3 linked regions of the Oreochromis niloticus genome follow. The protein of the gene in region 2 purifies or fractionates together with the protein of the main gene of each other region. This does not show direct contact. Links are inferred from orthologs where the notes say so. Each region holds a gene or a part of one and is shown on either strand. Other genes may lie near its edges.

Region 1 (7,985 bases), on a different chromosome or scaffold from region 2:
CATAGAAGGTTGTCTTTCTGTGTTTTTGTCTATTTCACACTTTTCCTTTTTGTTTATGTCAGGATGTTTGTAGTGCAGCAGATACCAGAGAGCAACCTGTTGATGCTGGTGGTGCAAGCAGACTGTGACTGCTCCAAACAGTACCCACCCATCACCCTGGAGCCAGAAGAAGTCAGATATATCCTGTGATGTTTATATTCATGGATCACGTGAATCATGTTCACATAAAGTTTACTTGTTTTAACCTAACTGAAGCATCACCCTGCCTATACACTGAGTCAATCTGGGCACACTTTGTAGATCTACAGTACCTACAGTACAGACTCTTTATTCTAACATGTGTATTAATTAAGCATGCTGGCCTAAATCGTTGTGTTTCTTTAACTGACTCAACCAACCGTACTGTTAAGTTAGATTCCAGGTGTGGGCCTGCCATGTCATATCTTTGAAATGTTTATACTGCGTGTCTTTAGTCGTAATATTTGAATGAGCGTGCAGGAAAACCATACTATGTTTCTGTTGCTGCTCCTTGACCCTGCTGTACATAACTCGTCAGTGAAGTGTGACAGGATGAAGTCTCAAAAGGTTCGCAGACGCCCCGAGTCTTGTCACTCTTATCACGCGCAGGTCAGAATTTCATCACAGCACGACACATCAAAAAACACGTATATTCATACAACCCTGTTACAGCATAAATATTACAATAATAAGTACTATAAAAACTTCTCAAATGTCAAAGCTGAGCGTTTTTTCCTTCTTAAGTTGATGCCTGCAAAAAAACAGACAAACAAAAAAATGCAGGGACAACCACTGTAAATGTTTTGGAACTGAGGAGATCAGTTGCTGCACTTTTGAAAGAGAAATTAATTCCCATTGTTGGTTGATGTAGGGTTTCAGCTGCTCTGCAGCTTGGGGCCTCTTTTGTTATCTTTTTCTTTTACAGTGCACCAAATGCTTTTATTTGGTGACAGATTCTCACTGTGGGCAAACTACTGTTTTTTTTTATTTGTAAATGCAGCTACAAAGTGTGTTCTCTGATGAAGGTTATCAGAAGTGTTCCCACTTCCATGCAGCAATTTTGACTAAATAATCTGTGTTTTCAATGCAGAGCTTGAAGAGCATTCAGTGTTGGTTTTCTGCTTTGTCTAGTTTTTCAGAATCTATTTAAAGATATGTTACTGTATATGAAAAAACCACAAGTTCTCTGCAAATTTACATTATGAAACATTGCTCTTAATTGAATCACCCAGACTGTTCAACCCTCCCTATCTTTACTGATGAAAAGGTCTCTAGGATGCTCTTTTTACACCTATTCATGTTACTAATTGACCTCATTAGCTGTGAGATATTATAGAACTTTTCTAGTATTTTTGTTGTCTGGCTTGACCATTTTGAGACATGTTACTGGCATCAAATTCTAAATGAGCATATATTATGTTAAAAAATAATAAAATAATTGAATAAATAAAACATAGTTTTGTGCAAAGGTTTTGAGCCACCACTCATTTCTTTATATTTTGTTTCCAAGGAGGCAGACTTTGTTGTCATTTTTTAAGTGGTCATAAGCAAAGGCCTTCCCATTATTCTGACTCAAGACTTTTGCACATTACTTTATTTCATTCAATGTTTTGTCTTTGTACTAGTTTTAATTTACCTTTTCAGAGCATCTTCGTGTTTTTGAAAATGGGGTTGCACATGTGTTTAAACATGCATGCATAAAACCAGCATTCTTCTCTTGTCTTACTCAACTGCTTCTGTGCCCTAAAATGATTTTCTGTTTGAATACATCACATTTTCATGAATGATTGGTAGCAAATTGAAGACTCGCCAGGTGAAGTAATTTTCTGCTTTGTCTCTGCAGGAGAACGCCGATGACTGTGGAGGAGCCTCTTTTATATCTCCGTCAACCTCTGTTTTCTTCATGTGTCTCCTTTTTGCTGCACTTGTTTCCCGATGACGGATAACTTCGCTCTTTTACGCTTCATCATATAAAGGAAAAGATGACAAAAACTGAAATCCTTGAGTGGATTTTTTTTTTAACTACTGAACAGATTCTGCACATTTTGCTCACAAAGGCGACAGACGCAATCTCTCTTGAAGGACCTTGGATGTTATGAGCATTTGCTGGTTAACTCCAGAGAATTACATTTGAACTAAAAGCTGCAAAAAAGAGAACTTGCTGTACTGTTGTTGCCATGGATACTTTTTTTCATTTGTTATTTTCTTATGCTCCACATTGTATCTCTGAACGAAAAGGGACTGAAGGGTGACGGCTAGCTGTGATGGGTGTTAATGAACAAGAATTAAGGATTCACACGGTACAACATGAAAAAGTGAAAAGAGAAAAACATGCATTATTCACTTCCCATATTCTAATGAGCTGCATATTTATCCACACACATGCATATTATATATGCGTTGGATACATCCAGTAAACACATCTAATGCATTATCTGCAGACTTTTATAAATGCAGAATAGCCAGTGAGAAGAGGGCTGCAGTAGGGCGATATAGGGAGACACTGTTGTGTTGCTAATGAGTCATGTTAATAATGGACAAGTTGACACTGGATAAGGTAAAGTAGGCACAATTGGACTCAATGGCTAATTATCTGTGTAAAATTAATATGCAATAAAGTAAAATAGAATGGAGTTGTCAGCCTCTACGGGAACTATGTTTTCACTTTTTATTTCCATCCTATAAATGTATGTTTCTGTGACTATTATTTTTACATATCTGTCTGCCTTTTTTTGTCTTTTGTCTCTCGCTACATACCATAACTAATTATGTATGTCTGGCTAATGGGCTGTAAATGCTGAAATAATAAATGAGCTGAAGATCGTCACACTCTAAAAAGGTAATATCTAACTTTTGACATTAAAACAATGCATACATGCATTTGCAATGTATTTGGCACCAAGGATTTACATTTTTGAAAAATTCTACAAATGTTTTTGCAATTAAAAAAATATTTATAGTTTTTTTTAAAAATATGGTTTATGAACGCTCTTCTTAAGGCTTTTTTTCTTCATTTAAAATGTAACTTTTATAGCAATGCTCGCTATTATAGCTCAGTCACTAAAAATAAAATGTCACAATAATAAAAATTTAATCTCAGTGTCAATTAGCACTATAAAACTAACTGCATATGATATTTTTGTATATATTTGCCTGTATGTTTTATATTTTGCACTTTTTGCTGAGCACTTAAATGCATTTTTGGCTCTGAGTGTCAGTGTAGCCTTTTCTACACCCATTTTTAATTGTCTCTCAAAGCACGCATAGAAGTTAAACTTATGAAGTTTCTGAGAGTTAATTATTTAGCTGTCCTGATTTTGTTTATACTCTCCACGGGTTGGCTTTACCACGTCTGTGGCCCTAATTTGTACTGTGTAAATAAAATTATAAATTTGGGTTTTGTTGTTTATCTTCTTTAAAAAAAACTTGAGTAATTTATTTTGGCCACATAAAGGCAAATTGATAACAGTTATCAAAATTAGGACTTTACTGGTAAGTGGATTCAATCCTTCAGTTCTGTCTACTGACAACCTGAGATTTTTTTATTTATTTTTTTTTAAATATATATAAAAGAAATGACTCTGACTGGAATTTTAGTGATAGTCAAAGCTTTGTACTCATTCATACTTTGAAGTTCTTTGGTTTGAACGCATAAAATCCTGTCAATTCATCACAGGTCTAGCACAGATAGACAGAAAACAAAGAAAATCTACGCTCACACCCAACTTAAAATCCCCAGTTAAGCATGCACGTCTGAGTACTGTGGCGGGATCCCAGAGCATCCAGAATGGTAAATGGAAAACATAAAAACATTATACAGAAAGGCCCCAGCGGACCAGGAGGCACAAAAGAGGAAGCTTCTTGCTTTCAAGTGACACTGCTAATCACTGCATCTTCATACTAATAAAATATATTTAATTTGATGTGTAAAAGAACCCGTTTCAAATACCACCAGTAGACACATGGCAGGTTTAGGGAAGATTAATTCATCCTCCTGACCACCAATGCAATATTAGCATTATTTTTATTTTATTTTTTCTCTCTCTAGTGAATTGTCAATTAAAAGTTCTAAAATTGCTGCATTCAGCCTCTTGCTTCACAGCTCGTTCGATATTATTTAAATACCTAAGCAAGTAAACTGCAGACAAATGTGGTCATGCAATGTTCCGAGTTTCACTCTGAAATCTATACCACTCAGGGGTTCCGATACGAGAGCCTGGCAGTTTTGGTGACCAGATCCCAACAAACTAAATATGGGGCAAAGACTGTGTTTGTCTAGGACAAAGTGGAAAACATTAACAATGCTAGGGGGGTACCCCATATATTCCAAGCTCTCTTGTTGAATAAATACAGTAGCGATTAAAAAAAAGCACGAGTTTGTCCTATGGCTCACACACAACAGTCTTTATAATCTCCTGTATTCTCAGTAAGGATGTGACGGTAGATTGGCATAGTTATAACACACATATATTCTGTGTCTCTTCACATTATATTTTCTCCTGTGTGAAACTAAAAAAAAAAGACAACTGTATTTCTCTGTGTGTCATTTTCTTTGTGGTAGTTTACATCATCATTCAAACTCTGCAAAGCCCTGGAGGTTTTGATCTCTTTGAACTTTCCCTGATGACTATAGCATTGTAACAAAAAGCAGTTTATTGTAATAGAAAGTCTTCCCTTCATATAATTGGGTAAAAGCCAGACTTGAGAATATCCTCAAAAGCAAGTAAATTGTGGGACATTGTCTCAAGGCTATAAAAAATGGGCCATATAATTAAAACTGATGTCACACATGCTATAAATCATAAGTAAAGCAAGAGGATGTATAAACATGTAAACTGTTTAACAAGTTTTGCTTTTTTAACACGGTGGACTCGTTTCACAGTCAGTGATGACTGCAACAGATTTTCCCGTGGTCTACACGGGTGATGTTGTAATGAATGAAATTAACCAGCGGGGGCGCTCGTTGCCTGTCTTCTTTTCATTGTTTGTGGTGTACCGTCGTTGTAGTCTGCACCGCAGGCGGTGAGAGCTGCTAGTCAGAGGAAAATGGCGGACGGTGTGGATCATATCGACATCTACGCCGACGTCGAGGAGGAGTTTAGCCAGGTAATAAATACATATTTTCCTACCTCGCTTATAGGTGTTAATTTTTTAATATCTGTATAATCTGCTATCTTTATTGTAACCTACAAAGTGGCGAGCTTTTGTGCCTAAAGAGGCTCTCTGACATACAAGGCCTTTTCAACATGCTGCAAGCCTGCAGCCTCTGCTATCGGCGTGCTTTGCAGACTTTTGTTTGTTCGTGGGGTTGTCGATATTTAACATGACTTTTCATGTATTTAGTGATTAATATGCACGCTGCAGTTGTTTCGTGATGTGCGTTGTTATTTATTCAAGTAAATGCTAAATGCAGCCGTCTTCACGGCGTAGCTTGGGTTCAGGCCTTGGCATGGTCGCCAGTGGCGGGCTAGCAAGCCAAACAAACGCACTTTCGTTAGCGAGCTGACATTGACTAATTCACAGCTATCACGCTGTCATGTCTAGTAAGTCTTTAATTTTTTAAGTTGATAAAGAGAAGTGTTAAGCTAAACCGAACGCCTTTAGGCTCTAAGGTTGTGTAAACATTTTCCAACCGACAATGGGCAGGCTAATAACTGACGGTAGGCGAATATATCGACGATAGGCTATCGTCGATATACTCGTCCAGTCGCCCAACCTTAGTAGGCTCTGAATAGTGTAGTAAACACGGCATGTTGTTAGCATGGATTAGGTCAATGTTGGGGCTATTCAGAAGATATTTTTCTCCACACGCCCCTTTTCTGTGACAAATCTTTTAATTTGTCCCAATTGGAGCAATTGTTTTCGCACAGGGTGCATAAATAAACCACTTCAAATTAATTTGATACGGATATAAGTTCTACGAAGCTTGCGACTGTCTGCTGATCACAAGTTTATGCTGTTTTTTCTTTTTCTTTCATCACCTAATTTACGTCTGCATGCTCTTGTAATTTGAACCCTTAGCATTTGTTGACTAATATCTCCTTTAACCTCTAAGATTATCAGTAATTGGCCGTTGTGCTTTGCAGTGTCTTTAAATTAGGATAGTTATATCAGCCATACTTTCTATCTGTGGCATTTTACACAGTGTTTATGTGTGGATTGTAAAATGTGATCGAAGTATTTAAAAAAAAAATCTTCTAACACTTTGGTCATTTTAGGAGTCTTGCCAACTATACTATATTTAACACCACAAGTAACCTTTATGATTATTATTATCATACTACAATCTGGATACACTGTGAAGCTTAGCCCTAAATTGACTTTTCCTGGTCAGCATAAAGCAGTTGCATGATCCTAGCGTTATTGAACTTGAATTGATTCAATAGTGAATTACATCTTTTTAATGAGTGCTGGTATGTTTTTCTGACAACTGCCTATTGCAAAAACAATTAAATCAGACTCAATTCAGTGGGAATTTTACACACCTGTCACAAGGAAACCTTTTTGTACAATGTGATGGTGAAAACCAATATAGGTTTGCTATTCTGGTGTTGGTGAGGAAACTGATTCAGAATCAGATCAGACATAGACGTTGATAGATTATATCCTTGGTGTTAATAACATCAAATCATTATCAAGCTCTAGATATTAAGTGCTTCACTGATCTGTTCTTGCATTCTTAATACAGGAAGCTGACTACCCAGTTCATGATCAGATCGACCTGTATGATGATGTAATATCCCCATCAGCCAATAATGGTGATGCTCCAGAAGACCGGGATTACTTGGATTCACTGCCAGCCCCAGGTGGCACAGAAGGAGGGAAAAGCGCCCCGCCCAACGTGGTGTACACCTACACTGGAAAAAGAATAGCCCTGTACATAGGAAACCTCACATGGGTGAGTGTCAGATTGTCTAAAAATTGGACTGACAAATTTAATTGTGATCCATACGTGATGCCATTTTGCTTGGGGTTGTTTTTGCAGTGGACAACAGATGAGGACTTGACAGAAGCTATCCGGGTGATAGGCATCACAGATGTGCTGGAGATAAAGTTCTTTGAAAATAGAGCCAATGGCCAGTCAAAAGGGTGAGGTCTTTATTATTTTATTTCTGTAACAGTTGCACTAAGTCAAAGACTATGTTAAGTATTTCGTATTAGGAGTACAGGGTGGGATCACACTGAGTCAGTTTTATGATTATATTACCACAAAGCTGCTGTTTCTAAAGACATAAATATATTCTTCATTGTCAGTGACCTTGTTTAGATATTACTATCAGCTCAGAATTTCACAGTGCATTGACGTTTATGCAATCAAATATCTGACTGTATGCCCTCTGCGTGTGTTTTCCAGGTTTGCTCTGGTGTGTGTTGGTTCAGAGGCATCCTCCAGAAAGTTAATGGAGCTGCTGTCAAAGAGGGAGCTCCATGGTCAGAATCCCATTGTCACACCATGCAACAAGCAGTCCCTCAGCCAGTTTGAAATGCAATCACGCAAAAGTAAGTAGGGCAAGTGTGCACATGGTTTATTTATCCGAAGAGATCAGTACTGGTTAAAGGAAGTTATGTATAAAATTTGCACATGTTGGAATGTGTGAGTTATTCTGAAGATGAATATATTTGACTACCCAATACATCACATATGTTACATGACCCGTGTTTAATCTTAGCATATGTATGAACTCATACATGTAATTTATTCTTGTTTCTGTCTCTTAGCCAGGTGCACATATTGATTAATGATTACGTATGAAATGAGTTTATATTTTATCTTTTCACAGGTACCCAGACAGGCCAGATGTCTGGGGAAGGAAAGGCTGGTCCTCCTGGTGCTGGACCCCGTGGCGGTTTCCCCATGGGCAGCCGAGGGAGAGGCAGGTTCCCCGGACCACCTGGCCCCGGAGGAGACCGCTTCCCTGGTCCTGTAGGGCCTGGGGGTCCTCCACCACACCTTCCTGGTTAGTTTG
Region 2 (7,794 bases):
GTAGGAGGAGCTGCCGATGTTGGCTTAGCAACAGAGTTCTGCAAACAAACAAATTATTTTATCGCCAGTGATTCAGAGCAGTGTGAAGCAGGGAAAACTCACTTTAGTTTAGGTCACTTACGTTAATGCTGAAAGCGATTTTTCCTTTCTGGGATGACCTCGGGCTGGAGTCGTCATCAGGCTCCTCCTCTGTGCCCTGTTCAAAAACAAGGACAACAAGTAGTTACTCACAAGCCCCAAAACTGGAGGCAGAGTGAGCTTTCACAGTTTGTGAAGGTGATATTAGATGAACTGCTTCTAACACAGTTAAGCCTTTCTACTGCGTAGGTAGGTATATCTTCAACAAACTGCAGCTCTCATGCAACCCCCAAACACTTAATCCAAGCTTCAAGGTGAGACCTTGAAACAATCTACAAAACAAATTATATAGAAAAAAAAAAAAAAGAAAGAAAAAAAAAGTATAAGTCTTCTCTGTCTACAGTTGCATAATGGTGATCACGCAGGTTTCCCAGCCCCTTAGCACACGCCATGTGTACCAACTTATCTTTGGTATATGGAGAGGAGTTCTTCATCTGTTTTTAGCTCTATAATGCAGTCCACACACGTGCGCTCCATCAGCGAGTGGAGGGCTCTGCTAAATAAACGACCCATTTCAACTGCAAGCATAAATACATTTGTAATATCAAATTTGTACTTCCTTTCTACATGAAGGTGAATCAGTAATAACACATCTGAGTTGGCTGCATCTATGTGTGCAATTAGCAAGTGTCTAAAATGTGAGATGTGACATCTACATTTGCATTTATTTGGCCTCTAGTGGAGAAAATGCAGATTGTGAAGATTACAAGGAGTACATTTTGTTATCACCCAAGTCACATGACAGCCCTTTAATCCCAGGTGCCGATGAGTGAAGGAGACCACTGTCATGTCATCTATGAAGACAGGAATAAATAGAGAGCATGTGTTCCCCTCAAGGTCCAAAAGGTTAAACAAGACAGGAAAGTCAACAACACAGACCACAAGATAGTCACAGCTATAACCTCTGAGTGCTGAATCATTTAAAAACAACGGGTTAACATCTACCGTATGATTGAGTTAAAGGAGAGCACTACTGTGCACAGGAGATATTTCTAAGCTTCTTCATATCCCTCGTCTTTATATGGAAAGAAAAAGCACATCTAAGTCTTTAGAGTATTAAAAGCTTTGCCTTCAGTGAATGGCAGGTTCCACATACAGGTAACGTTTCCTGTGACACTCACCTGTGCTGCGGTCTTTTCGGAGCCGTGTCTCACCCTTTTCTCTGGCTCACGCTTAGGTTCTGACAGGATTGGTTTCACACTCTCAGGAAGTTCCAGTTTCTCCACTCCCAGGATCTTCATGGCGTTGGCCTTTGCAGCTTCGAGGAGTTCCCTTTTATCTGTTAGACACAAACCAAATGAGGACATTTAATACGAGCATCATTACTGCTTGCTGTCAATTTCTACTGATATCAACTAGAGATCTTACCATGCAGACTGAGGCTGACAGAACGTCCACCAGATCGGGATCGGCTCCTGGATGGGGATCGTGAAAATCTGCATCGATACTGGCTCACGCGGCCCCTGGACCTGCTCCAGCGGAAGGATGACCTGGATCGGGACCTTGAGCGGGACCTGGAGGGAGACCTGTACCGTCTGCGATTTGAGTATCTGTCTGGTGAGCGGCTGAATGAGCGAGAGTGGGCCCTGTAACGGCGGGGTGGGGAACGACGAGAACGACCTCTGCTACTTCTGCTGTGGTCGTCACATCGACAGCAAGAGGAGCGTCTGTGGCAGCGGGGGTAGGAGCGTGACCTGGAGCGAGAGGAGGACCTGCTCCTGGAAGAAGATGATGAGGACGATGAAGAAGAAGATGATGATGATGATCTGTAATAGCGTCTGCGTCTATCCCGCCCTCTGTAAGAGCCTGAGGAGCGGCTGCTGTCATAGCTGCTCCTGGACACAGAGCGGGATCTGGAGCGTGACCTGGAGTAGGATCGGGATGAGGTGGGGCTTTTCTGGTCAAAGATCACATTGAGGCCATCGCTCTGGCGAGCACGGGCCATTTCAGAATGAGAGCCTGTTCCCTTGGCCATTGTCTGGTCTTCTGCCAAAGGCTGGAAAGAGAAAAGAAAACCTGCCTAAAACAATGAGAACACTTGGTCAGTGGTGGTCAGCATGCCTCAGTAATTTTAAGTACTTTACTGGAACAGTCTTTTTAATGTGGCATTACCACCACTTTCTCAATGATGCCCCTAAAGAGCAAAGTGCAACTGCATAACTGGCAAGTCTGACTGCAGACTACTGGTAATATCACATTTCAAGGCAGGCTAAAACTAAAAACTGCTCCCCGAACATTAAACAACTTATAAAAGGAATGTCTTAAATTACATTATGTGTTAGAAACGTGTGTCAGCCGTTAAAATCTATTAAAAGACAGCATAACCGTTGCATAACCACTCTCAGTGCTGCCCCTAGTGAGCAAAGCCCGGTAAAGCAGTGTTGTGTAACATCACCGGCTAAACCGGCTTGAACTGGAAAGTTCCAGGATGACGTAACCCTGAGCTAAGGCTTCTCCAGCAGTTGTTAAAATACAACTTTTAAAGGTTATCGTTGAGCAACATTAGCAAATAATAATTTATCCACATCATTAAATTTGCATTAGTCACAAGCTTTGTTTTTTTTAAATCTGAAACCGTCTCGTGTAACTCTAGCTTGGAAATAAAATAAAGGCAACGGCGTTGTTTGTCTTACCAGTTCGACTGTAACTCGAAGATACTCTTTCTGTTAACGTCGATATAAAGAGCAAACGCTGTGGCAAATTGTTGCCCCCCAAAAGTATATCAAAAGACGAAAAGCTGACAGAGGAGCTCAAAATGCTCGAATTTGTTGGTTTGCAGCCAAATAGCTCAGAAAAAAAGCAACCGAAGTGTCTTCCTCGAAGTTCACTCTTCCACCGTCGTCACTCAAGTGAAAGCGGGAGGAGACCGCAGCGGGCTTTAAACCCGCTTCTGGAAATTTCCATTCACGTGATGTTCGCGACGATTGGATTCTTTTGAATGACTCGCGGGCTTAACGACTCTTTTTAGGAACGAAATAAGTCGAGTTATCTTCCCTTTAGCGGCTTCTGCTTTTTTAAATCTCCGCAATATTCATTCTTCCTTTAATCGTTGTTTATGAATCGTGTCATATTTGTGTTTCTACAATCAGTATCGGTTAAAAACAAGGTTAAAGAAACCGATTTAGCGGGTAACTGATACAGTTGGTGAAAAGAATCAAATCATTCAGGGCGACCGATAAACCCCACAGAGGAAAAAGCCGCATTGAGGGTATTTGTGTTTTGAAGGGCTGAGTGCTGCAGAAAAAACTGCACACACAGTTCTGAGATGCAGTAAACGCTATTATTTAAGTATTCTTTATAGAGGAGTTCGATCCTTTATGTATGTAGCATGTATTCAGTGTATTATGTGCAGGATAGAGTTTACAAATGAATTCTGCAATGATTATGATTTAAACAAAAGCTTGCTGCAGCAAGTAGCAGAGCATGCTGCGATAGGTGAAGGGAGGGGGACAGTTTGCAGTTTCTAGAAAATTCACATAAACCTGAAAGATTACATTATATCTGCAGCATTATCATTGATAAAGGGATAAAAGATGCACCACAGCATCAGCAGTTTATTGCTGTATTACATGTCTGAGTGGTGAATAAACATAGACTAGACATCATCACTAGACTCCATATCATTTCATTGATACTCAACATAAACAGCCAGTAAATGCTACATGGTCAGATGGATTACATAATACTTCAAATTTAACTGCACTTATTATACAGGGGGAAAAAGGAATCAGTGAAGTTATTTTGTATTTTGGTAATACAAATTTAAGACTTGTTCAAACCCACTTCTAACTCAGCTTCATCCATTTTGTTGGACTAAAAAAGAGTTGCAATGATTTGCATTAACACATCCTTTCAAATAATGGTATATATTGTTATAGGTCTTTTGGTATTGGTTTACTTTGATAGCTGCTTGTTTCAGTCAAGGTTTCTTTTAAGATAAGGCATGGAAAATCCTTTAAGAAATAGTTTGGCTCAGTGAGCTGAGTAGCCGCTTTGAGACTAGGAGGGCCAGGTTCGAATCCTGGTCGTGTCAGCACAAGAGTAAGAAGCACGGGGGATTGGGAGCCCCAGACTTAAAAATTGTTTTGCGAATCCCTTTTATTAAAAATACTCACAGTGCAATTTCTCGGGGTGCCCCGTGGGTTCGAGGGAAGGAAGAATTGTGGCATAAAAAAAGAGGCAGGGCCAGAGCGGGCGTACCATACCACAGACTTATGTTTGGAGATTTATCAAGTCAATGGGGACATTATAGCCTAAATATTCTCCAAGATAATACGAAAAATATTTATAAAAAAATTAATGAAATTAAAAATGAAGGTATGATTCAATATAAGTACGTAGATAAAGACGAGAATCTTTTGGTTGTTAAAAATATACAAGACAAATTATTATCCGAAAGCATGAGAGATGTGGTATGGCTCATCTCGCTCGGGCGCCTCCCTGTGAGGGCAGTGGTGCAGTGGAGTTGTTTTGTTACCACCATGAAATGCCCTATGATAAACTGTGACGAAGATGAGACCTTAGAACATCTTCTTTTGGACTGTTATAGGACAACTAAGATAAGGCAGAAGATGACAGAAATTGGGTATGATGTTGATGTTAACATTAAAGCAGTTAAATATGGTTTGTTTAAAGAGAAAATGAGTGAAGACAAAAGGAGACTCTTTTGGTTAATAATGTGTGTAATAAACACACATATCTGGAAAACCCGTACCAAAGGAGTGATAGAACAAAAGATGATAAGCAGTGATGTGGTGAGTAAACATATCATTACAGATCTGCGGAGAAGAAGAACAATGGACCTGAAACTTGGAAAAGTTTTCCCCTGGAACGTATTGAAACTGTAAGTTTTAAAAGTACTTTGTGGACTCAGATGCTCGACTTTCCTCCTTGTTTTCCTTTTTCCTTAATGAGTAGTATGTGATCATGGTTTTGTATATGTAATTGTATGTGTATGTAAATTTTATATGTATACTTTAAATAAAGTGTTTAAAAAAAAAAAGAAAATCCTTTAAACATGTAGGGGGCCAAGCTTCAGCTCAATCAAATGTGTCTTTGTTCTTGGTTCTTGTTGAGTATTTGTTGAGTTGAGTAACTGATACTCTTTCTCGTGTTTCTCATGTCTCCCTATCAGCGTCCTTATCTTCCCTCACTATTGCCCGTGTTTTATTTTGCTAATGAATCTCTCTTCGGTTATTCATTTAGCTTTCCCTCTTTGTAACTGTCTGCCCCACCCACATTGGCTTGTCCTCGTTCGTTGTTTGTTGTAAAACAAAATTCCAAAAAAGGCCTTGAAACTAATTATCCAAACTTTGTCCTACAGAAAACAGAATCTTATTTTAAATACAAAAAGGCCAAATTTCACTATTTCCACATTAAATAGCATAAACCCAATAAGTTTTATGGTATTTAGTGGAATAATAGTAGTTTGGGGGGTTTTTTTAATTGTATTTTAATGGTTTATCTTTGGCTTTTTTTTTTACTTTGCCGTTGCATGTCAGGGCATGACTGAAGTCTTTCTCAGCAGGAAGGCTGTTAAAGTGACAAAATACAATTAAAAATCTGCTTATATTCTCTAAGGCCGTCCAGCGAAACTGAATTTCAGATGTTATCAGTCAGCTGAATGGGAGTGATCATTGGGTCTTCAACCAGAATGGGTCGTCAACACCTTCTAGACTCTAGAAGGTGTTGACGACCCATTCTCAAATCTTAATGAATGATTCTTTCATATATTCTCCTTCCGTGAACAGCTTCCCATGCCTGACTATTTCCTAAACGGCCACAAAACTTGCATAGTTGAATTTGCAGACTTCATCCACTTCTTCAACTGATTTTCCCTCAGATCAGCTTTCCGCTTCAGTTCTTCAGCTTTATTTCTCACTTCTCCCTCCGGGTATTTTTCAGCAAAGGCTGTGTGTTTATTTTGGAAATGTCTTGCGACATTTGACATTTTATTGTTAGCCAATCTCTCTACACAAATTAGGCATACTGGTAGGCCACTCTCATCAGAAGTAAATGCCAATGAATCCGCCCGGGCATCATTAAATGTTCTATTTTCTTCAGATATTTTTCTTTCCTGACATTTCTCCATACTTGGCCTCCCTGGGGTTGAAATTCTCGATACGCTTATTTTGAGTGACAAAAAATTTAAAAAAATTAGAACTACAATTTAAAAAAATGTTAAAAAAAAAAAATAACTGACACAAATAAAATACACTTCAAATAAATTCTTATAATTTATTTTCCCAAGCCACACAGCTGTACAGGGAGTGCAGAATTATTAGGCAAATGAGTATTTTGTCCACATCATCCTCTTCATGCATGTTGTCTTACTCCAAGCTGTATAGGCTCAAAAGCCTACTACCAATTAAGCATATTAGGTGATGTGCATCTCTGTAATGAGAAGGGGTGTGGTCTAATGACATCAACACCCTATATCAGGTGTGCATAATTATTAGGCAACTTCCTTTCCTTTGGCAAAATGGGTCAAAAGAAGGACTTGACAGGCTCAGAAAAGTCAAAAATAGTGAGATATCTTGCAGAGGGATGCAGCAGTCTTAAAATTGCAAAGCTTCTGAAGCGTGATCATCGAACAATCAAGCGTTTCATTCAAAATAGTCAACAGGGTCGCAAGAAGCGTGTCAAAAAACCAAGGCGCAAAATAACTGCCCATGAACTGAGAAAAGTCAAGCGTGCAGCTGCCAAGATGCCACTTGCCACCAGTTTGGCCATATTTCAGAGCTGCAACATCACTGGAGTGCCCAAAAGCACAAGGTGTGCAATACTCAGAGACATGGCCGAGGTAAGAAAGGCTGAAAGACGACCACCACTGAACAAGACACACAAGCTGAAACGTCAAGACTGGGCCAAGAAATATCTCAAGACTGATTTTTCTAAGGTTTTATGGACTGATGAAATGAGAGTGAGTCTTGATGGGCCAGATGGATGGGCCCGTGGCTGGATTGGTAAAGGGCAGAGAGCTCCAGTCCGACTCAGACGCCAGCAAGGTGGAGGTGGAGTACTGGTTTGGGCTGGTATCATCAAAGATGAGCTTGTGGGACCTTTTCAGGTTGAGGATGCAGTCGAGCTCAACTCCCAGTCCTACTGGCAGTTTCTGGAAGACACCTTCTTCAAGCAGTGGTACAGGAAGAAGTCTGCATCCTTCAAGAAAAACATGATTTTCATGCAGGACAATGCTCCATCACACGTGTCCAAGTACTCCACAGCGTGGCTGGCAAGAAAGGGTATAAAAGAAGAAAAACTAATGACATGGCCTCCTTGTTCACCTGACCTGAACCCCATTGAGAACCTGTGGGCCATCATCAAATGTGAGATTTACAAGGAGGGAAAACGGTACACCTCTCTGAACAGTGTCTGGGAGGCTGTGGTTGCTGCTGCACGCAATGTTGATGGTGAACAGATCAAAACACTGACAGAATCCATGGATGGCAGGCTTTTGAGTGTCCTTGCAAAGAAAGGTGGCTATATTGGTCGCTGATTTGTTTTTGTTTTGTTTTTGAATGTCAGAAATGTATATTTGTGAATGTGGAGATGTTATATTGGTTTCACTGGTAAAAATAAATAATTGAAATGGGTATATATTTGTTTTTTGTTAAGTTGCCTAATAATTATGCACAGTAATAGTCACCTGCACAC
Region 3 (7,878 bases), on a different chromosome or scaffold from region 2:
CAAAAACATTAATGTAAACATTTACACAGCTACTTAAAAAACAACAAACATGTAAAAATCGTTAAAAACATTGTTGTGATGACTAGAGTTAATTTCATGCATACCTGCATTTGTAGGCTCCTTCAGAGGTGAGTTTGTTGCAGCTGCTGCAGTTTGGGGTGTAGCCAAGGGATCCATTCGAGGTGGAGGGGCCTGGTTTGGGTCCCATAATACCGCCAATAGCCCCAATTGCCTCAGGGGGACCTTCAGGGGATTTGTGGGTACAACACTGGACAGAAAAGTCGCTGCACATTCTTTCCACTACCTCCTTTACCACCTCATCCTTAAACTATGAAAAACAGAAGGAAAGCACAGTATTTTATTTAATCGCCAATTAAAAAATAAAACGTTCCATGTAAAAATACTGCTTCACAGCAGCAGTTAAATTTTACCTTCTCCATGTATGATCTAAACCACATAGGAGGGGGCTCATCATCTGGTTTGTTCCCCTTGTTATCTTTTACTGCTACCTGCATGAAAATACACCATTCTTCAGTTAATTGACAAAATCAGAGATTTTAGCTTTTAATAAATAAGCACAAACTTTTTCCCCAACAGGTAAAAAAAACTTAACTGATTCGAGGCACTGACTTTATTAAAATGATTTCAAAGGCACTGCACATGTGAGAATCTATAGGGAGAAGAAAGTTGGGGGGGAAGAGTAGAATTACTTACAGCTTCTCGCTCAGGGGTGACCTGCGTGCCTTTGTCCACTGTTTTAACCCTTGAGGGGTAAGGAGGAGCGGGTCGAAGGTCTCCTTTCAGCTCCTTCACCTCGGTCTTCAGTGGGCCCCCACAGGCCTGTCCTTTCATCTTGTACACATTCATGTGCAACTGGTTTCCCTGCTTCTCTGCACTCTGCATGGAGAATTAGCACAGAATGCAAACCACAGTCAAGTGACATGAGAACACACAGTAGCAACGTGATGTGTGTACAGATGCATAGTACATATACTGCACATATATTCTCTTATTTTCACTGTTTGTTCTTCTATAGCTTTGGTAGTCTAATTAAGGACACAGTTGTGTTGTTTATGTCTTAAGTGTAGTTTTACGGTGCAGGTTCTCTATGTAAGGATATATTCTATAGCAGTGGTTCTCAAACTGTGGTACGCATACCACTGGTGGTACGTGGGCTCCCTCTAGTGGTACATGTGAAGTCTCCTTTTTTTTTACGATTAAATAATATGCCATGTTCTGACTGAGAGATTTCAGAAAAATTCAAACAGCTCTGCTGTCACTTCCAACATAAATGAAGACAGAAAACTAAACAGGAGTGACGTTTGTAGGGTTACTGAAGTTGGGCTAGCTGGTATATAATAATGTGCTACGTGCTGGCTAGCAATACGTCTATGTTAGCATAATATAAACACAGTGAAGCTGGAGGATGAATGCTAACTTTTTTCCACTCAATAAAAGTTAACGTGAGGGTTCCCGATGGTTAGGGACAAATGCAATCGGCAGGATGCTGTAAACGGACCAAACTTCAGTCAGGAGAACAACTGAGATAATCCATCCACAATATGAGGTTAGCCATTAATATACTGCTGTAGAGCAGGGCGATATGACCAAAAATATTTATCACGATATACATTTGAAAATTTGCGATAACGATATAACTGACGATATAATTGACACTAGACAAAATACTTTACAACTCCACAACTTTATTAGTGCAAAAAACACCATCAATGTATTTTCACTTAAACAAGCAGCTATTTTTTTATGTGCATTAAAGTTATATAAAAATGTAACAGTGCAAATTCCTTGCTGACAGTTTAACCAAAAGGCATTTCCAGTGGAAATCGGCCGACATATCCTCAGCAAAACCATGTATAATATCCACAAAACTTAAAAAGAGGTTATACACACACAATATGGTAATATTATGTTGAAGCACAGTACGTATCACTCCGCGAGGCTTCTGCCTACGATAGCCGTAATGCTCCGACAATCCATCAACCGGTGCGGGTTCGTAGCTTAGCAAAGTCGTACTAAAACATTTGACAGATTTTCGAGCGCCATGTACATAAAATCGTTTCGAGGTCAGTAAACACAACCAGAATTCATACATAAGGCACACGGGATTATAAGGGACACTGTCGATTTTCAGAAAAATCAAAGGATTGATTTTAAGTGTGCCGTATTTTCCAAACAACATGGTAATAACGACGGCCCACTAGCATGCGCTACCAAAAATAGTGCTTTGTTGTGTATCTGACTGACGAAAGCTAAACCAGTTCCACACCACTGAAGTTGCAGCATTTTTACAAACCAGTTCTGGTTCATCCGTTTCATTTAAAGATCCACTTTCGCTCTTCTCATTCTGCGTCGCCGCCATGTGCGTATGTAAACATAGGCACTGCGCATGCGCGTTTTACCCATATTCTATTGCGATATTTCATTTTCCTATCGTTGCCCAAAATTACACCGGTATTACCGTGAACAGTATGATATAGCCCAGCCCTATATACCGCTGCATGGCCTGGGCTGTAGTTACATGGTAAGGTTTTAAAAACTGAGCTTTAAAATGAACAGGGGTGATAATAACCGAGAGAGGCTGACAGTGATCAATGCCATTTTTAGGGGCTTGTTCAGATTAAATAGAACAAGATACACAACAAAAACACAACAGCCTTAATAAACGCAGAGTAGTTTAGACCCAGAAGCAGGATTCATCACGTCATCATTAAAGATTGGATATCCCACCTGCTGTGAATGTTTTAATGCAGTACAGTTGTTATTATTATCACTTGTCACATCCTGTTCATGACAGTTAAAATAAATAACATTCATATAATAAATAAAATTGTCTCGTGTAAACTGTATATGGTGTTAAGTAACCCTATACCACTGTACTTTAATGTCGGTCATAAGGGTGGTACTTTAAGAGCCATATATTTTATGAGGTGGTACTCTTTTTGAAAAGTTTGAGAATCACTGCTCTACAGTAACAAAAGCTATCACTCTGTCCTTTCTGTTTAAACCCAGCACTGCTACAGTACCTTGATGGCTTCTTCATATTCATCTGTGGGGGGAAAAACAAACAAACAATAAATAACTTCACATTTTGTGGCTCAAATCTGTATTTTTTCCTGGTATTTTGATATTTTCATGTACGGGTACACCAGGAGTAAGGGTCAAAAAGTTTAGGTTCCAAATGTAATAACTTTCTAGCAATGTATTTTAAAGACCAGTTAACAACTTGAAAGACACAGCTTGACTTCACACATCATTGTTTACTGTTATGCATATCATGCTACATGTCCTGCAGGCCAAGCTGTGAATATTCAACACAATGCTTACAAAACCGGTTTGCTCGAAACACATTTTTTATAATTAATGCAGAAAAGGATGTTGATCACAATCCCCGTAACCAAAAGGCAGTTGCCTACCCCATGGAGTTTTTGAGCCTACAATTGAATTACCCATTTGTTTTACCTGTGCATTTAAATGTCTTTGATCTTGACACCCCACTGTTGTCTTCTAGGCCCTTGCTGTTTTACGTTTTGTCTCTGTTTAACACCTTTGTGTTAATTCTGGACCACATGTTTTGCATGGCTTTTCAATGGTTCAGCATAAGTTTAGCTGTTGGTAAGTCCACTGTATTTAGCAAAATTCAAAGCAAATTCTCTGAAGACAGGACTTGACATAATTTCTACAATACATGTTATGAATGCCAATATTATCTGTCATAGGTCCATATCAGGTTAGGAATCTATCAGTTGGACAGCTTTCCTGGATCAAACAGGTCATTAGGGGGTGACTATGTATGTAAGCATAATGGGTTAGGATGTAGTTAGGGAAAAGAGTCTTTGTTATCTTAGTTAACAGAGGTTTGTGCCTTTTCATGTTATTTTTCAGCCACCTGATAAACAAACATGTATTTTAATTTTGAGTATATTAAACCAAGCTTTAAACAAATGCTGGCTACATATATTTTTAACAAAGTCCTGGTGATTTACCTTTGAAGGAAGACCTAAACCTAAACATATTCAACATAAATTATATAGAAAACAAGCAATTAAATATTGTCCTCACCTTGACTGTTTATGCAAATCTGAAATGTAAGGTAAATGAGATCAAAATTAAAAACTGAACTTGGGATTCTGCCAAAACATAACCACTGAAAATCTACAATGTACACAATCCCTTACCTCTTCATTGTCTTCATCAAAGTATTTCACTTGAAAGTGGTTGATCCCAAATGATGCTTTGATCTGAAAAGTAACGCAGAACAATTGAGAGCAGTTCAGTTTTTCTCCTCACACGTGTTAGGAAAAACATGAACCATGACTGAGTCAGTGAGAAAGACCTCCACAGCTGGATACTGTATTATACATATGTAGTAACCTTAAATCAAACTGAGGACATCCTCACTTGTGTGCCTATATTTTGTAAAGCTCCGGCTGGCTTAAAAAAATATTATTTACAAATACATTATTGTTATTGTCGTAACAAGATCGACTATCCTTTGGGAGCTCTGTTTATGTGTCTAGGCCAAAACGTCTAGGCCTACTTTTTCACTAAACTGCGCCAGCGTTTAGCCAAGACTCTGCTAGCTGCTTACCCAGACTTCAACAGCTTCCCACTCCAATTTATCCATATCCTGAGCCAGAAACCTCTTCACGTTCCCCCGGAAATTGACTTTAATAGTAACAGGGAGCCCCATGTCCGCCGTCTATCGGTGCTTAATGGCTATCATTTGCGTGAAACCCGGCCTGTGTGAGCCCCGCTGCCCTCGGATGTTTTCTCTTGTTTACATCGTCAGCTGCGTCTAGAAAAAGACGGTGACGTTGCGCGCAAGCGCAGTTGCAACACCGCCTCCGTCGCATGTTTATTGTCGTCATCTTTAAGCTCACGAAGTGTGGCAGACAAGTGATAAGCCACACGTTTACAGGTGAATTTAATGCTGTTGGGACAATCGTTCTGCTCATATTCGACTACATAAGATGTCTTCACTCCTCAAGCTGGATAGTGAAATTAAAACCAAGGTGAGGTTTGGCCTTTTGTGAATTCCAGTTGAGTTTATACTGCGTGTTGTTGTTGCCATGTTCTTTGCTAGCATGTTAGCCACATTTAGTAGCATGATGTGAGAGCTCGGATAAGGCCAGGCTAACAGCAGCTACCGGCTAACCGGTTTCTTGTTTCCCGCCCACTGCAGTACACCTGTCAAACCTTCCCCCAGGTGTGGTGTCAGGGTGGCGCTAAACGTAACGGGGATATAGATAAAGTTTGATTTACAGCCCCCTGTGCTGGGAAAATGGTTGCTGCTACTACGACCACATGCACTGACGAAGGCCTGAGCTACCAAGTTAGCTAACTCAGCCAGCTGCCGTTCACACCGGCGTTGAGTTACCAATGCTAGAGGTTGTCTCTCACACTGAGGAACCGGTCATGTGTTTAAAACTGGACCAAAATAAAGTTTACTGTCTTAAAGTGTTTTTTGTTAACTTGGTATTCAAACTCTCGTACATCTGTTTGTGTTTACAGGTCGCTGCTTTCAAGGAACGTATCACCGCAGAAGTAAGTCTCTGTCTTACGTTGTAAATTAAAATATATACATGCAGGAGTTTATCCTGGCTCATAGCTAGCCTTTAGGGGCCTGTAATTAAGGCGTAGAGTCTGCTTCTTTATTTAATGGAAGCCTGCGTCCAGCTATGAGTAAATTAAATCTAACTTACTAAAGTGCGAAAAACCAGTGTGGTACTGGTGTAACACCTTTTGTTCTATTTGAGCACTCAAAGCACTTTCTATTAAGCCTCATTCACCCAATCGCGCTCTTGCTCACACACATACATACACATACATTCAAACAGCATTTTTATCTGTACTTGAGCACTGTTTATCTGACATTCACACACACTCACCCACTCACACACCCCAGTTGATGGATTGGGGACAACTGGGGTTAGTATCTTGGCAAAGGATACATTCACACATGGACTGGAGGAACGGGGAATCAGTCTACCAACCTTCTGATTTGTAGGTAGTGTGGAAACTCACAGATATAGATGTTTCTATATATGTATAGCTAAATGTGTATATTTGGTGAGCACAGTTTCATACACACCTATTATGACTGTGATGTCCAAGACTCCACTAACAATGCACATTTCTTCCAGGCAGAGGATCTAGTCGCCAATTTTTTCCCAAAGAAGTTACTGGAACTTGACCATTTCCTCAAGGTCAGTTAATTGTACATTCAGCTAAATCAAGTTGGCATAATTTTAGATCTTTGTGGATAGTTGAAACTCATTCCTTCCCATGTATTATTTGGCTTTAAAGTTCATTATCTGTTAGTCAGTCTTTATCAATTGTCCAGAATTAAAATAGTAACAGCCAGGTGCTGTTAAACAAATTCACTTGACGAACTGGTCATCAGCAAGCATAAACATCTCTATAAAAGCAAAAAATTTGAAGTCCATCATTTTTCAGTGAGGGAGGTTGTTCACAAGAGGAAAACATTGAAATGGGTGTTAGTAATCACAGGTGTGGATGCTCCAGTTAACTCACCCCCAAGGTCAAACTGTACAATGTTCAGAGGTAATTTTTGTAAGAGTTATATCTCTGACTTTACAGGCCTCAGTTAGAATGTTAAAGTGCATGACAGCACAATTAAAGACTGGACTAGTGTGGCTTGTTTGTAAGATTTGCTGGGAGAAGGCTCTTCAGCCACAGGACCTGGCCACCTTCCAGTCACAGAGTCGACCATGAACTCCTCTCTGTCCTAAAGTAGATTCAAATGTGAGGCCATCTGTTTAACAGCTAAAGTTGGGTCACAAAAGACAATGATCTTCAACAGATTGAGTGAAAAAGAGAGAGTAAGGTGTTTTGCTGTTTTCCAGAAAGGTCCAGACTCCAGCTGGGTTTAAATACTGTGACAGGGATTTATGAGACTGTGTATTAGTAAACACCTGCAAACCTTAATAAAGTGAAGTAGCATATAAAGAGTGGGCCAAAATTCCTCCTGTGAGAGACTGATATCATACAGAAAACTATTCAGGTTGTTGCTGCTAAAGGTGGTTCTGCAAGCTATTGAATCATGGTGTGTTCTTAGTTTTTCCTCACACTGCTTCTGTCCTTTGGCTTGGTTATTGTTGACTACGTAATGACATAGTAGTGTCCAAGACTTCATATGTCACTACATAAGTCATATGTTTTTCATCTGTGTTTGTATTCAGCCATTTTTCAAACCTGCTAGATCAGATTTTTTGATGTCCTGACATGTGAAATAGATTAGATTTGGCAGCAGATGTGCTTTCTTCTTATCATGTCTGTATATTTTGGCATTTGACAACTAATCTTGTCTTTGTTTTTTTCAGGATCCAAGCATAAACATCACTGAACTGAAGGAAATTCACTCAGACATAAATCTGCCAGTGCCAGATCCCATCTTGTTCTCAAATCTCCACGATGGGCTAGAAGCGGTGAGGATCCATTTTAGAGTTAGATTTCGTATTGTTACAGTAACTGTTGGTAAGGTAAGGATGAGAAATTGTTTGTAACTGTTGCATCTCTCTCACAGCAAAATGCCAAAAAGAGGAAGATGGAGGATGGAAGTGGGGTTGACATGGGTAAGTACAGTTTCGCTGGCTGAATATTTAGTCTGTATTTTATGTATTTTTAACTTTTACTCCTTTATCAGTGACTGGCACCAAGGTCTTCGCCATGCCTGATGGGATGATGAAGAGCAATGCGAACCTTGTTGATCTTATTGAAAAGGTCAAGCCCGAGATCAGGACACTCATAGAAAAATGTAACACAGTAAGTAAGAGCTCTAAAGTCTCTTATCTTATCTAAGTAATGTTATTTTGGCCATTTGGCATCCCCAGCAAG

What was found. The genes of interacting proteins can lie anywhere in the genome.
Region 1: the proteins of rsrp1 (region 2) and cpsf6 purify together in Homo sapiens (affinity purification with mass spectrometry; 3 studies listed by BioGRID and IntAct, with this or other methods). This does not show direct contact. The link is inferred for Oreochromis niloticus from reciprocal best matches to the Homo sapiens genes RSRP1 and CPSF6.
Region 3: the proteins of rsrp1 (region 2) and psme3 purify together in Homo sapiens (affinity purification with mass spectrometry; 3 studies listed by BioGRID and IntAct, counting the BioPlex papers as one, with this or other methods). This does not show direct contact. The link is inferred for Oreochromis niloticus from reciprocal best matches to the Homo sapiens genes RSRP1 and PSME3.

What each region holds. Positions count from the first base shown.
Region 1 is NC_031981.2:10,572,508-10,580,492, reverse strand, and holds the start of cpsf6 (cleavage and polyadenylation specificity factor subunit 6), read left to right. Parts: upstream 1-4,968; 5' UTR 4,969-5,064; coding exon 5,065-5,124; intron 5,125-6,706; coding exon 6,707-6,916; intron 6,917-7,003; coding exon 7,004-7,107; intron 7,108-7,372; coding exon 7,373-7,518; intron 7,519-7,799; coding exon 7,800-7,976; intron 7,977-7,985. Other genes in the region: cacna2d4a (voltage-dependent calcium channel subunit alpha-2/delta-4), read left to right, coding at 63-178, 545-627, 1,862-1,957. UniProt on the Homo sapiens protein: Component of the cleavage factor Im (CFIm) complex that functions as an activator of the pre-mRNA 3'-end cleavage and polyadenylation processing required for the maturation of pre-mRNA into functional mRNAs.
Region 2 is NC_031983.2:27,287,323-27,295,116, reverse strand, and holds the start of rsrp1 (arginine/serine-rich protein 1), read right to left. Parts: upstream 3,007-7,794; 5' UTR 2,772-3,006; intron 2,159-2,771; exon of another isoform or gene 2,155-2,158; 5' UTR 2,114-2,154; coding exon 1,507-2,113; intron 1,418-1,506; coding exon 1,260-1,417; exon of another isoform or gene 855-1,259; intron 635-854; exon of another isoform or gene 197-634; coding exon 122-196; intron 39-121; coding exon 1-38.
Region 3 is NC_031973.2:6,504,339-6,512,216, forward strand, and holds the start of psme3 (proteasome activator complex subunit 3), read left to right. Parts: upstream 1-4,861; 5' UTR 4,862-4,991; coding exon 4,992-5,033; intron 5,034-5,532; coding exon 5,533-5,565; intron 5,566-6,164; coding exon 6,165-6,227; intron 6,228-7,364; coding exon 7,365-7,469; intron 7,470-7,567; coding exon 7,568-7,616; intron 7,617-7,687; coding exon 7,688-7,806; intron 7,807-7,878. Other genes in the region: nbr1a (NBR1 autophagy cargo receptor a), read right to left, coding at 105-328, 432-509, 715-897, 3,045-3,067, 4,081-4,099, 4,197-4,259, 4,610-4,711. UniProt on the Homo sapiens protein: Subunit of the 11S REG-gamma (also called PA28-gamma) proteasome regulator, a doughnut-shaped homoheptamer which associates with the proteasome. 11S REG-gamma activates the trypsin-like catalytic subunit of the proteasome but inhibits the chymotrypsin-like and postglutamyl-preferring (PGPH) subunits.